Arabidopsis thaliana: one gene and its partners. The protein of the gene in region 1 interacts with the protein of each later gene in a pairwise test. Each region holds a gene or a part of one and is shown in the gene's direction. Other genes may lie near its edges.

Region 1 (4,544 bases):
GTTCATCTAGTTATAATAAAGATAAATCGTTCTTTAATTTGTTCTGTTCTTGAATCACGTCACGAATCATACAGAAACTAAGTTACAGCTAGTCGGCTTTGATTTGAAAAACTACGAAAGTAAATTTACTAAGTTATTTTCAGATCTATGGCATCAATTCTTTTGAGTTTTGACATGTAGTCTATTTTTTAATATCAACTAAATATATAATTTTAATACTAAATGCTACATTGTAATATTATAATATATATAAAAAATTGTAATAGTAAATCCTACATTGTAACAAAAGTGATTTTAAAATCTCGAAAAAGTTGAAGTAATAAAATAAAGCTTTGACAGATATGCTTATAAAAATTTACAATTTAATTTGTTATTTACTAAATTTACATTAAAAATCTGTAAATTTTAATAAATGTCAAATTTTATTTACAAACTGACATGTGTTTATTTCATTTAATATTACAATACAATTATATCTCATTGCTACAAAGATATTAATAGCAAATGGACTGATTTCTGCAAGGTTTTTGATATATAAAGACACCCCATACAACTCAAAACGATTCATGTCCTAGTGGTGAAGCTTCTACCCGTAGTAAATTTCTGGTTTGCTTTTCCTTGAACTTTTTTACTTTTATGGTTTGTTACTCTGAAGTATTTTTACAATTCTTCTTTGACTTTACCGATCTAAAGTTGGTTATTGTCATGTTTATTGCATGTACTGTTAAAAAATCCGAGTAATTGTTAATTAAGATCTCTGATGCAAATTCCTGTTCTTTTTTCCAACGATTTTAAGTTACTTTTAAAGAAAAGAGGTAATGTGTTTGAGAAGATAGAAATCAAAATTAAATAATTAATTTCTTCAGTGAAAACAAATAATAATAAAAAATCATTCTCTTTGTTTGGAAAATACAGCTCGATCAATTGAAAACCATGTCGGAAGGAGACAGTATATTTGTGTATAAAGGAGACAAGCCGAAGCCAACCAAAATTGATGCAAAGGCATATATTAAGGCTGTGAAGGATCATTTTCATAATGATAGAAAAAAATATGAAGACTTTCTTGCGATTATGAAAGATTTTAAAGTTCGCAAGTATGTGATATACATAGTTTTTGGAAAATATGACTAAAAATGTTCGGTTCAATTTTTTCGTGTTGAAGAAGTAATTAATTTTGATTTTATAACTTCATTGCAGAATTAGTAGGGCTGATTGCATAACAGCGGTGAAGGAACTGCTTAACGGAGACCAAGACTTGGTTTCTGGTTTCAATGTATTTTTACCAGATTGGTTGGAGATCTAATTATTAGATTGGGGCATGAGATGGGTAGGTGATGTTGTGGGATTTCTTCGTTCGTCTAAACCAAGTTCGGTTTAGATTTGTATTAAATTGAATAATTTATTTGTGATTCGTTCTTTTATTTATTTATTTAGGAATTATGTTATGAATTTAGCCATTGTGTTTTATAAATAAGGCTGTATGATCTTTGTTGCTTTCAATTAACTTCATAATATTAATCTTTTTTCAACTCGTTACTCTTATTATTCAAAATATCTTAAAACGCTAGAACTTCACATTAACACATAGTATAAAAAGCAAAGTATACTAGGTGTTGTTATCAAATTTATACTAGGAATGTATACTAGGTGTTGCTATTGACTATTAATTAGAGTTGTTGAATGTGATGTTGTATTAGAAAATACTGTAGTTCCTAAACATTAACCATATCAAATTAATTTAACACATATATGTATGTAATGTTATGTCAAAGTCAAACTAAGAAATATATGTTTTGGGGAAATTATCTCTTTAGTCTAAACATTAATCTCTATTTTCGATTAGATCATCCCTATACTAAAATTAGCATTTCACATTTTTTACTTTTTTTACTTTTCTCAATTAAAAAGTTTTAATTAATTAATTAAAAAAAAGAAGAAGATTTGCCTTTTTCCTTTTTTAAACCGTACTTTTGATGTAATCCTTAATTATATAATCCAACGTTAAGTGTCGGAAACTAAACCCTAGAGAAATCTCTTCTTCTAGTTCTAGTCTCCTGCTTCTTCGAGATCGTGTGTCGTAACTCGTAAGCTAGGGAAGCCCTTTTTGTCTTCGAATTTCGGTAACTATACGATGATCTTCTTCTCTTATTGTCATTGAATGATTTTGTAGTTTCTGGGATGATTTCGAATTGGGTTCTTCGAATTTAATTTCGTACCTGTGTGATCAATTTTACCTGAATTTCATCAAATCCGATTTAAACCCTCAAATTAGCGAATTAACTTCTTATTGTTTTTGTTAAGACTGAGATTTTAAGACTTCTAAGTGTTTGGTTGGTTTGCTCTGTGTTGATATTGGCCACTTTACACAAGTTCTCACGTTGGTTCTGATGGGAATGAATTAGTTGTTGTTGATTTTGGTTTTGACAATTATTTGGATTTTGAGAAATTTAGCTTATTGCAGCTTTATGTCTTGTTCAATTTCAGTGTTGAGGCAAATCATAGATTTAAGTAATGTTATTAAGATTTCTGCACTCTAGGTTCTGTTTCTTCAAGTGGTAATAATAGCTTCTAGGTTAAATTCAATGATGTGATCTGTTTTACTGAACAAAAATCTTCTCTTTCTTTTGATAACAAAAGGCTAGATTCAAACCATGGTTGGAAGACGAGTATCACCTGCTCTAACTAAGGATGATGCGCATTCATACATCATTGCTGTGAAGGAAACATTTCATGATGAACCTACGAAATATCAAGAGTTTATCAAGCTCTTGAATGGTGTTTGTGATCATAGGTATGTATTCTTTTCTTCCCTGTTATATTTGGTTTGGTCTTTACTTTCAACTGTGAATTGATTCTGATGTTACTAGTCTCTTTTTGCAGAGTCGATAAATATAGTGTCATTGCAAGGGTGGAGGAACTGATGAAAGATCATCAGGATCTTCTTCTTGGTTTCAGTGTCTTCCTTCCACCTGTTTCTGTAGAGGATTTTATAAACAAGCTCAAGGTAAACACATGCTAAAATGACAAATAATCCTTGGAGAGAAACACCAAAATCCTTTTTTGATTCCTCTTTTACTAACTAGAGCAAATTTGTCCATCTGCAGACACGGTTTCAGAGCCTTGATACTCATGTAGTGGGGGCAATTCGCGGGTTAATGAAGATGTTTAAAGAGGGAAAGATGTCGGTAAAGGAGGTGCAAGAGGAGGTAATGTTTGTTCTTGGTGGGCTATTTTGTGTACTTGTGTTTTTTTTTTTTTTTTTTGGTTCTCTTTGTTTGATTTGGTTAGAAATAATATTATCTTGCAGGTCATTGATGTTCTCTTCTATCATGAAGATTTGATTGAAGACTTTCTCAGATTTTTCACAAAGAACCCTGTATCAACAGCATCACTACTACTACAATTATAACGAGTGATGTATTTTTTATGAATGAGAATGGAGTGTATAGTTTCTTTTGTAGAGGTTTTAAATCTTTGCTTTTCACCATGAAGAGGATGAGATTTGAATTTGATATACTCAGATGATTGAAACTCAAAGTGTCACAAAACTCAAAAATACTTCTCATAACCTTATTTTGTTTATGTTGAATTTTACTGATGAAAAACCTATGAAAGATCAAACATTTTTTTAAAACTCATTTCTTAGTTTTGTTATGTACTTAATTAATGGTTGTTAAAAAAAGGGTTTTGTGTAAAAAAACACTTCGAACTCATCCATTTTTACAATTTTATCCTTCACCTCCAACATATTGAGATTAATCCTATGAAGTCTAAAATAATACGCATTGTAACCCTTCTTTGTTTTTTTCTTTACTATTAATTTTGTAAAATATTGACATGTAATATATTAAATCTAAACCCTCACGATGAAGAGTTCAACTCTGCCTTCAAAATTTTAAAATTCTAATGTATATCATCGTAAAAACGTTTACAATATACGTATAAATGTCATATTGCGTATTATTTTAAACTTTATAAGATTAATCTGCATATATTGGAGGTGGAGGGTAAAGTTACAAAAATGGATGATTTAACCCTTTTAAAAAAAGTACATAATTAATTAAAATACACCAAATAATAAAAAAAAATCATTAAAATAAATAGAAAATCTTACATAACCTTGGAATCATAATACATAAACAAAACCCTACCGAGACTAGAAACTCGTCTCCCCTGCTTCGTGCTCGTGATCGTGAAGCCTTCTTCATTCGTCTTTGGTACCTATACACATGTGTTCTTCTTCTTTTTTGTGTGATCTTCGTTACGTCCACTACAAGTTTTATTTTCTTTGTTCATTGCCTTTGTAGTTGCTAGATCTGTTGCTTGTTGTAATTTGTATTCGTGGGATGATATCGAGTTCCTTGAATATATTTTTCGTAATATGTGATAAGATATCAAATCCGACTGATGAAGTTTAATCAACTTGAAGTCTCAAAACTAGATATGAGTTTTGTTTTGTCCCCAATAAAAAGTGTTAATCTAATCCCGTCAGACTTAATACTATGGCAATCTCTGAATTGGGGTATCTTTGGTTAAGAATGAGA
Region 2 (5,797 bases), on another chromosome or scaffold:
AAAAGGAAATTACGGGTAGGTAATCGGAATGGCAACAAATTAACAAAATTTCTTATAAAATACTTTGAAATTTCCATGTAGTAACGTAACTTTACTTAGTTAATCTGGAGTTAATCATGTGGGACGTGCTAATGACCTAATGTAATATCTCATTCATTACTAATTCAATAGTTAGCTGTAGTTAATCAATTAAACAAAAGCCACATTGCGACCACGATTGTTTACTTAACCATATTATGAACTGTACACATTTATAATAGTTAACAAGAAAGTCTTTTGTTTATACTAAAAAATGAAAAACAAATGGATGATGTAAGTTGAGTTGATCAAAATGTCTACTAAGATTATTTTTTTGTGATTAAAAATAGAAATTCTGTGGGAGCTCAGATCCCCAAAAGGAAAAAAGTAATTGAAATTTGGATCGAGACCAAATGAAGTATTTAAGATTCAACTTGGCATATAATTAAATTTAATCACATTCACGAAATAATTTTTTTAAATGTTGAGCCATCAAAAATAAAAATCATTTGTTTCTTATAATACGGGCCATACAAATATTGATTTGAAATTAGAACTAATAAATTGCCCGGTTTGAAAAATTGGAGACAGGAAAGACGACAATTTGCTAGCTTATACATTAATAAGAAAATGGTTAGCTACTTAATGTAATCTCTTCGAAATTTTATCATACTTGTGTTCGAGTAACGCTTATATATATGCGTATAACTATAGATAATGATAAAATATATTTCGTTATATCTTGAGTTGAAACTAAATTATTAATAAATATAAAATAAGAGAATAGAACAAATAGTGTCTTTTGACGGAAAAAAAATGCATGTTATTTTTTCAACGCCATGCAGCGTTACGTCACTGACGAAATTTGACAACTATCAACTATGTGAAGCATTTGACATTCGTATGTTGGCTGTAAAATGAAACAAGATGTAACAGGAATATGATAATAGCATTGGGACATAAAAAAAGGATTAATTTCCTTAATAACAAAGTCAATAGTTGACAAAATCATATAATTACCGTGTGTGACCTGCGTATTGACCAGTATACGCACCCTTTGGCCTACCATATGAACAAGGTTTACATATATAACAATAATCAAATGCTTAATACTGTTTTCCTTTCTCTTGTTGCATGATTTGACTTTTAGATTTGTTTCTTAATGACTTATTGTTGAATTATACTCGAAACTTTTACAGAACAAAAACGTTAGAAACCCTAAATAATGAAGTAACGGAACTTAAGATACGATAAAATGGCAATTTTTGTCACTAAAATGGTAAGAGCAAAATCATTTCGATTATCAATCAGAAATTTTATCACACATGGATTAATTCAATGTTATGTCTATGGATGTATAAACTTGTAGATATTTGGAATATAAAACATGTTTTTGATGAGGGAGGACTAATAAATACACTCGATAAAGAAACAATATTAAGTTTTAGAGAGTTGACGAATGCTCATTTGATGTGAGGCCAATAGATAGAAGAAGTCTTCTCCCATGAAGCTTCAAGGACATATCCTTTCACATTATAGAATCTCTATTTGACGCCGTACATTTAGGCTCTTTCTTGTAAGTATTGGTTTCATTTAATGCATTTGGACATTTAAATAATACTCTGATCTGATAACCAAGATCCATATAGACTTTACCTACACTTTCACTTAATGAGAAGGAAGTTTATACTTTCTGTTATATTCATCACAGTTTCATCATGTTAAAAGTTCTTCATTAGATTTAATTTAAATATTATTGGATTCACGTATATATGGTTATAAATATTTGATTTTATTTGTGTTATATGTTTTTTAACAAAATACCAGTAAGGAATTCTATTAAGTTTGATCATTCGTTTTCGATGTACTAGTTGTAATATTTTTTTTAATTGACCCTATTTAAACGGAGAAGTAGTATTATTACCAACAAAGTCAGGAAATAATTTCTTTTTTCGCTAGTTAGTTTAAAATAAATAACACAGATATGATTGGAGGAAAAGGTACTGAAATTCAATAAAAATGAAATAAAAAAATTGAACATGTTGAAGTGTTGACGCTTTGGGTCCCCTCGAAGAAACTACACACAAACACAAATGGCTATAAGTAAAGGGTTTGATAATATGTTTCTGAAGGAAAAAAACAGACAACAAAAAGAAAAGAAAATCCAAACAAGAAGAAGAAGACGAAAATCTTCTGATATTTCTGACAATGGAGGTTCTTTTGAAATTACCCTCTTCAGAGTCTCCTCTTAAGGATAAATTTGGATCTGTTCAAATCCATGAAGCTAATAAGGTAAATACCAACTCTATATGTGCATATACAAAATTATACATGTATATGGAAATAATTTAGATCACAAAACCAGAAAACTGACCGTTCTTATTCTTTATCGGTGTGTTTTATGCTTTAACGTAATTCTTGTATCCTGAGATGTCTCTTCCACTCTATAATGGCCTCTCTCTTTTTTCTTATTATCGTAATTGGTTTAAAAAGAAAAACTCAAAACTCTACCATGTTCATTTTTTTTATGGAAACGGGAAGATTATATTAGTTATCTATCTAGAAATATTGAATAATTCGTTAGAATTAAGAATGGAAGTATGATGTGTTAGAAACTTAGAATAAAGAACATTTTTAGATTTAGTTGAGAAATTAATCAACTTTTTTATTCAATGATATTAATCAGGGTGATGGTGATCATCAAGAACTTGAATCTGCCAAGGCAGAGATGAGCGAGGTGAAGGAAGAGAACGAGAAGCTTAAAGGAATGCTCGAACGAATTGAAAGTGATTACAAATCTCTCAAGCTCAGATTCTTCGACATAATTCAACAAGAACCTTCAAACACCGCAACTAAAAATCAAAACATGGTTGATCATCCCAAGCCAACGACGACGGATTTGAGTTCTTTTGACCAAGAACGCGAGCTTGTATCGCTTTCACTAGGGAGAAGAAGTTCTTCCCCAAGTGATAGCGTCCCCAAAAAGGAAGAGAAAACGGACGCAATCAGCGCAGAAGTCAACGCTGACGAAGAGTTGACTAAGGCCGGCTTGACCTTAGGGATCAATAATGGCAACGGAGGTGAACCGAAAGAGGGTTTATCTATGGAGAATCGTGCAAATTCTGGCTCGGAAGAAGCTTGGGCGCCAGGTAAAGTTACGGGGAAGAGAAGCTCTCCAGCACCAGCCTCCGGTGGCGATGCTGACGGTGAGGCCGGTCAACAAAACCATGTTAAGAGAGCTAGAGTTTGTGTTAGAGCAAGATGTGACACACCAACGGTACGTCCTTTAAATTATACATTAAATAAGTTGATCTATAACGTTAATTAAAAGATTTGATTATTTATATGTGACTAATGTTGATTCGGACATGTTTATTAATTATGTTGTATAGATGAATGATGGTTGTCAATGGAGAAAATATGGACAAAAGATTGCGAAAGGAAATCCATGTCCACGAGCATATTATCGCTGCACGGTTGCACCTGGATGTCCCGTTAGAAAACAGGTATATTTCGTATTCTATATAGTCTATTTAAGAATGGAATAAAAAATCGGTTTGAATTTTTCGTCTGGTTTTATTTTCATTTCCGTTTGAGTTGGATCTGATTTTAGTTGTTAAAATGTATCATTCAATTTAAACTGAACAACATAATTTAAGATAAAAATGTATCATTCAGTTTATTTTATTTTTTGCGTTTGCCTTTGCGTTTCCATGGTATTATAGAAAGTAAGAAACATTTGTGACCAGTGTACAAATAAAAAGAAACGATCTAACTATTTGTCCTCGATTATGTATGTTTTAGGTCCAAAGATGTGCAGATGACATGTCTATACTAATCACAACCTATGAAGGAACACACAGCCACTCTCTTCCACTCTCAGCCACCACCATGGCTTCCACCACATCAGCCGCTGCCTCCATGCTCCTCTCTGGCTCCTCCTCCTCACCAGCCGCTGAAATGATCGGAAATAACCTCTACGACAATTCAAGATTCAACAACAACAACAAATCCTTCTATTCACCCACCCTTCACTCCCCATTACATCCCACCGTCACTCTAGACCTCACTGCTCCACAACACTCTTCCTCGTCTTCTTCTTCATTGCTTTCTTTAAATTTCAACAAATTCTCGAACTCTTTCCAAAGATTCCCATCTACAAGCCTAAATTTCTCTTCTACTTCATCAACATCATCAAACCCGTCTACTCTCAACCTACCCGCGATTTGGGGTAATGGGTATTCTTCTTATACTCCATATCCTTACAACAACGTCCAATTTGGGACGTCCAACCTAGGAAAAACAGTCCAAAATAGCCAGTCCTTAACCGAAACCCTAACAAAAGCGCTTACTTCCGACCCAAGTTTCCACTCGGTGATCGCTGCTGCCATCTCAACTATGGTCGGATCAAATGGAGAACAACAGATTGTCGGTCCACGGCATTCGATTAGCAATAACATTCAACAAACCAACACGACGAATAATAACAAAGGATGTGGAGGCTATTTTAGCAGCTTATTGATGTCTAACATTATGGCGAGTAATCAAACGGGTGCTTCTTTGGATCAACCATCGTCGCAACTTCCTCCCTTCTCTATGTTCAAGAATTCTTCTTCTTCGTCTTCTACGACTAATTTCGTGAACAAGGAAGAGAAAAGCTAGTCATTGTTCTTGTTTTTTGTTTTTTGGGTGATTTTTTATTAGGTGTTTTAATTAGTCTTGTATCAAGATATGTTGATTCTTGTTCGTCCGTTTCTCAAAAGTGTTTATTTTTTCTTCTTAGTTAGGAGACTATGGAACCAAATTCAAATAAACCAAACCAAATGTACAATTTTTTTATGTTCTTGTGTGGCAAATATTATGTTCTAATTTGATTTAGATTGAGATGATACAATAATTTAATCTATCTACTAGATTAATCAATAATCACAACGTTTTTTTATTTAAGTAGAAAATAATAAAACAAGAGTCAACAATACAATTTGGTTTCAAGAAAATTACAATTTGAAAGGGAAAAAAAAATAGAGAGAGAATATTATATCATATGTATATATATTTAGACAAAAAAGTGAAAATAAATGGGCGTGGGCCTAAAGTGTCGGAGCAACTTTCGAATTAAAAGTGTACTGTAGGATGAAATGGATCTGATATGCTGATTCAGCCTTATTGGGGCTAAACAAATGGGCGTGGGCCTAAACATATGGGCGTTAGTGAGAAATCTTTGATATTCACCGAAAGGATACTTACAAGTGATCACCGAAAAGAGATGCAAAGAGAAATGGGAAAACATAAAGAAATACTTCAAGAAAGTCAAGAAAGTTGTAAACAACAACAACAAGACGACGAATAATCTGTAATGATGATGATTCGAGTTCGAACCGGTTTGGTGGTGAATGATTAGTAATCTTTTCAAAACCGGTTTGGTTTCTGATTTTGGTTTGATTTGTTCTGTTCAGATCCGACCGGACCGGTTTGCTACTAAGGTATGCAAATAAATTATTTAGAGAAAATTAATCTATTTAAAGTTTCCTCCATTTAACTAAATAAGAATAGCTTATTGGTTACATAGATTTTATTTTATTTAAGAGTTTCATCATTTATAAGACGAACACATTTTATCTGTTTCTTACTATAATTCAAAAAAGAATAGAATGACAATATTCTTGACCAAAAAATAAAGAAGGAAAATGTGAATATTGTTCTATCATTAGTTTATTCGTCCATGAATTATTTATCTATTCATTTCAAATTTACTATTCATCTAATTAAAGAAATTAGA
Region 3 (4,490 bases), 8.2 Mb from region 1:
AATGGCTTCCAGTCAAGTCTTCTTATGACCCCAGGATACCAAATCTTCTGATGAATGCGTATGTCAAAAACGACCAACTAGAGACAGCTGAGGGGTTGTTCGACCACATGGTTGAAATGGGAGGAAAACCAAGTTCAAGTACGTGGGAGATTCTAGCTGTTGGTCATACCAGAAAGAGGTGTATTTCAGAGGCTTTGACTTGTCTTAGAAATGCTTTTTCGGCTGAAGGGTCCAGCAATTGGAGGCCCAAGGTGTTGATGCTGTCTGGTTTCTTCAAGCTCTGTGAAGAGGAATCGGATGTTACCAGTAAAGAGGCCGTTTTGGAATTGTTAAGGCAGTCGGGGGATCTTGAAGACAAATCTTACCTAGCTCTTATTGATGTGGACGAAAACAGAACAGTAAACAACAGTGAAATCGATGCCCATGAGACCGATGCGCTTCTAACACAGCTACAAGATGATTTGTAATCTGATAGTCCTAGATCTTTGCTTTAAAAAACGAATCTTGTAACCGGAGTCAACTGAGGAAATGCGAAATATGTATAATGTACACAAGAGACTGCCTAGTGAAACATGAATGTAAGAGCTGTGTCCCTTTTTGTGACAGCTATTTGGAATTAGTGTTGCTTAGGGAACTGGATTAGCCTTTGTTCTCTTGTTTGATTGTTGTTACTTGTTAAGACTAATATTGGAGAGGTTAGGTTGTGCTCTTTTATTTTGGGCCGGACGGATAAAAGGCCCGATATTGAATATATAAGTCTGAGAGTCTCAAAGGCCCATCTCCATTAAGATATCTTCGCGGAATCGGTTGTGAGAGAGAGAGACGGTGATCGGGAAATGTCGACGAAAGGCGCGGCGGCGGCGTACCCTAGCGCGGCTCGGATATCTGATTCTCCATGTTATCTTCAGTACTCTGCTTCTCTCAAATGTGAGTCATGCTCCTGATCTCACCCTTTGTGATTGTTTCTTCGAGGATAGGATTTGACATGTTATCTTCAGTACTGTCAAGTTCCATAACGAATTAGCATTGATTAGATCTCATCTATTTCATTATGCTTCCTCAAGGTGATTAGATTAGTGGGTTGAATCCCATGTCAGTGATTCGATTTAGGTCCCATCAATTGATAACGTCGGGTTTGATTCCTGATTGTTTATGTGTTTCCGTTTTCATTAGTTATGCCTCTTAGCTTGACCCCTTGATTTCTTATCAGGTCTTGAAGAATTTGGATCAGACAAGAGTAAATGCCAGGATCATTTTGATGTGTACAAGGAATGCAAGAAGAAAGAGGTTGTTGTTGTGAATGAATATTTAGGCTTTTGGCGTTTCCAACTTCTTTGCTGCTTTACCTATGTGTTATTTTGTTTCTCAGAGGGAAGCTCGACTGGAACGCAATAAGACACGGTCGTTGTTCTCGTGAATGCAGATCCTCGAATACCAATGATGTCTCAGAACATCACCTAGCTAGTAGTATCCTGTTGTTTCATTTGCAATGGCTGTGTTTGTATGATCTATCTAAGTAAACAAGTGGAAAGTGTTTGTTAATGTTACTTTTTACTCCCCATTGGTGAATCATGGTGTATACCTGTTAAACTTTGAGAGCAAGTGGTTATTTATTTAGTTAGAGAGTTAGAGCTTCTCCACCACCATATTGAATAAGAAGATCTTTCTCTCATTCTTTTACTTTACTCTGGCGTCTGAAACAGATCCAGGGATTCCAGTAGTGAATTGGGCTTAAAAACTGTTATATGGGCTTTCGAAAGTAAAAGGTTCGGTGAGCTGCCAAAGAAAAGTCAGATGCCTTTAATCGCATTTGACGACGATTCTTTACGTGCGCCATTGACTGCATCGTCGTCTTCCTCACGCGATTTGGTAATCCGATTCGTCTTCATCTGATTCCCTCCCTTCCGAGAATAATAATGTACCCGCCACCTCCCTCAAGCATCTACGCTCCTCCGATGCTGGTGAATTGCTCCGGTTGCCGGACGCCTCTCCAGCTCCCATCCGGCGCCCGATCTATTCGCTGCGCTCTCTGCCAGGCTGTTACTCATATCGCCGACCCTCGCACCGCCCCTCCTCCGCAACCTTCCTCCGCCCCTTCTCCGCCTCCCCAAATCCACGCGCCTCCCGGTCAGCTGCCTCACCCCCATGGCAGGAAGAGGGCCGTGATCTGTGGCATCTCGTATCGTTTCTCTCGCCACGAGCTCAAAGGCTGCATCAACGACGCCAAGTGCATGCGTCACCTTCTCATCAACAAATTCAAATTCTCCCCAGATTCAATTCTCATGCTTACCGGTACAGAGTATTTCTATCTTTTCAAATGCCTATGTTTGCTACTATACTACTATTCCTTGGATTTTGAATACAATTTTCCTTGGCCTCTTCAATCTGATAAACACACATTCCAAGTTACCATTTCGAACCACTTTGATAAAAATGTGTTGCATTCCATAGCTGACTAACTAATTGTTCATCATGGATGGTTTTCATTCTCAGAGGAAGAAACTGATCCATATCGTATCCCGACCAAGCAAAACATGAGGATGGCATTGTATTGGCTCGTACAGGGATGCACAGCAGGCGACTCACTTGTCTTCCACTACTCTGGTCATGGTTCGCGTCAAAGAAACTACAACGGTGATGAAGTTGATGGCTATGATGAAACACTCTGTCCTCTGGATTTTGAAACTCAGGGGATGATTGTAGACGATGAGATCAACGCAACCATTGTACGCCCTCTTCCACATGGTGTCAAGCTCCATTCAATTATCGATGCTTGCCATAGTGGTACCGTTCTGGATTTACCCTTCCTATGCAGAATGAACAGGTTATTAGTCCCTCAACCGCTTCTAAAAGGGATGTTGCTTACCTCTCTCGTTATATTTAACATACATCCATTTTTTTTTTTAATTGAAACAGAGCTGGGCAGTATGTGTGGGAGGATCATCGGCCTAGGTCAGGTTTGTGGAAAGGAACTGCTGGTGGAGAAGCCATTTCAATTAGTGGATGTGATGATGATCAGACTTCGGCCGACACATCAGTAAGTAGAACGACTCTAATCATACGTCTTGCTGTTGTAGTTGGTTCCTCCTCTCATGATTAAAACACATACACAGGCGCTGTCGAAGATCACGTCTACGGGTGCTATGACTTTCTGTTTTATTCAAGCAATTGAACGCAGCGCACAAGGCACAACCTATGGAAGCCTTCTGAATTCTATGCGCACCACAATAAGGAATACAGGGAATGATGGTGGTGGTAGTGGTGGAGTTGTGACGACTGTGCTGAGCATGCTTCTGACAGGGGGAAGTGCGATTGGGGGATTAAGACAGGTAAAATTCTTTCTTGCTCTCTTGTGTTGATACAGATCGATAAATGTTTTCTTAAATCTGTTTTTTGACAGGAGCCTCAACTGACTGCTTGCCAAACATTCGATGTCTATGCAAAGCCTTTCACTCTCTAGTAAAGGACAAGTCACTTTTTATGTATAGCGAGTGTGATTTGAGAATCCGTCCATATAACCACCTTTTGTTTCTTATTTTTATTTTTCTTTCAAAAGAATAAAGGAAAACATTGATTTGGTGATTCGATAACAAAATGTGCCATCTATTCTTTAGTCTTTACAAACAAGCAGCAAATGGTTTGCCTTTCAGAATCAAAATTTAAGGTGTTTCTCGAATAGACAGAAGGAAGAGAAGAGAAGTCCCAGAAAGCTGTTCAGAAGGCGCATACAAATCATGTGTGCGTTGCTGCTGCAAGGAAAAGCACTTCCGCTGTAGCAGCCTGTTCTTTGTTTGATACCCCGGCCGTTATCTTCCAGTACAAAGGAGGAGTTTTTCACACCATCGCTAAAGAGAAGACACCAAAAGAAGGTACCTTTATGCAACCTAGCCATTCCCACTCCAACCTCGGTATGCGACCTGTTTCTGAGCACCGACAACGCACTGCTATCTCTAAAGAGAATGTCTGAGAAAGCGACTTCTGGTGCTGCATACTTAGAGCTGCAGCCGAGGATATGGCCAGTTATGGTACCAAAAGTGGGGAGTTCTACACCACAGTTTGGGGCAAACACCTGAGTGAAGTCGTCTTCAGGGTGTTCACAGCTGAGAGTGTTGTTGACATTGCAATTCCCCTCGCAGAGCTCAACATACTGGAGGGCCATGCAGCCAAGACCGGGACTCTCATTTAGTTTGCCTAGTTTCCGAGCTGTTCTGTTCTGGTTCAAGATGCTCACCATTTCATGAGCTGAGTTTCCTGCAACCATTCTAACTAACACTTAGTCCGCCTAAAACGAATCAACATAATATAAACTGTCGAATCTGGTTCTGACTAAAGAAAGCGAACTCGAGATTAAATCAGAGGGAGTGGCTGTAAATTCAAAATAAAGCCTGGCCAAATGCTGAACGAGAAATCCAAGTCTATATTCGCATATGTTATGAGGGGATAAAGCAAGGAGTTACCGTGCAATTTGGAGCTAGCTAGCACTGATGAGA

Evidence for each region.
Region 2: the proteins of AT1G24210 (region 1) and WRKY72 interact in a two-hybrid assay, tested with the Arabidopsis thaliana proteins (one large-scale study listed by BioGRID).
Region 3: the proteins of AT1G24210 (region 1) and MC1 interact in a two-hybrid assay, tested with the Arabidopsis thaliana proteins (one large-scale study listed by BioGRID).

What each region holds. Positions count from the first base shown.
Region 1 is NC_003070.9:8,572,635-8,577,178, reverse strand, and holds AT1G24210 (Paired amphipathic helix (PAH2) superfamily protein), read left to right. Parts: upstream 1-1,994; 5' UTR 1,995-2,120; intron 2,121-2,637; 5' UTR 2,638-2,651; coding exon 2,652-2,791; intron 2,792-2,880; coding exon 2,881-3,004; intron 3,005-3,104; coding exon 3,105-3,206; intron 3,207-3,307; coding exon 3,308-3,409; 3' UTR 3,410-3,635; downstream 3,636-4,544.
Region 2 is NC_003076.8:4,902,200-4,907,996, forward strand, and holds WRKY72 (WRKY DNA-binding protein 72), read left to right. Parts: upstream 1-2,090; 5' UTR 2,091-2,226; coding exon 2,227-2,310; intron 2,311-2,673; exon of another isoform or gene 2,674-2,704; coding exon 2,705-3,295; intron 3,296-3,410; coding exon 3,411-3,524; intron 3,525-3,822; coding exon 3,823-4,680; 3' UTR 4,681-4,895; downstream 4,896-5,797.
Region 3 is NC_003070.9:409,967-414,456, forward strand, and holds MC1 (metacaspase 1), read left to right. Parts: upstream 1-1,697; 5' UTR 1,698-1,916; coding exon 1,917-2,292; intron 2,293-2,493; coding exon 2,494-2,824; intron 2,825-2,916; coding exon 2,917-3,037; intron 3,038-3,113; coding exon 3,114-3,329; intron 3,330-3,400; coding exon 3,401-3,460; 3' UTR 3,461-3,588; downstream 3,589-4,490. Other genes in the region: AT1G02150 (Tetratricopeptide repeat (TPR)-like superfamily protein), read left to right, coding at 1-467; AT1G02160 (Cox19 family protein (CHCH motif)), read left to right, coding at 837-927, 1,211-1,395; AT1G02180 (ferredoxin-like protein), read right to left, coding at 3,653-4,251, 4,458-4,490. UniProt on the Arabidopsis thaliana protein: Cysteine protease that cleaves specifically after arginine or lysine residues. Does not cleave caspase-specific substrates. Acts as a positive regulator of cell death.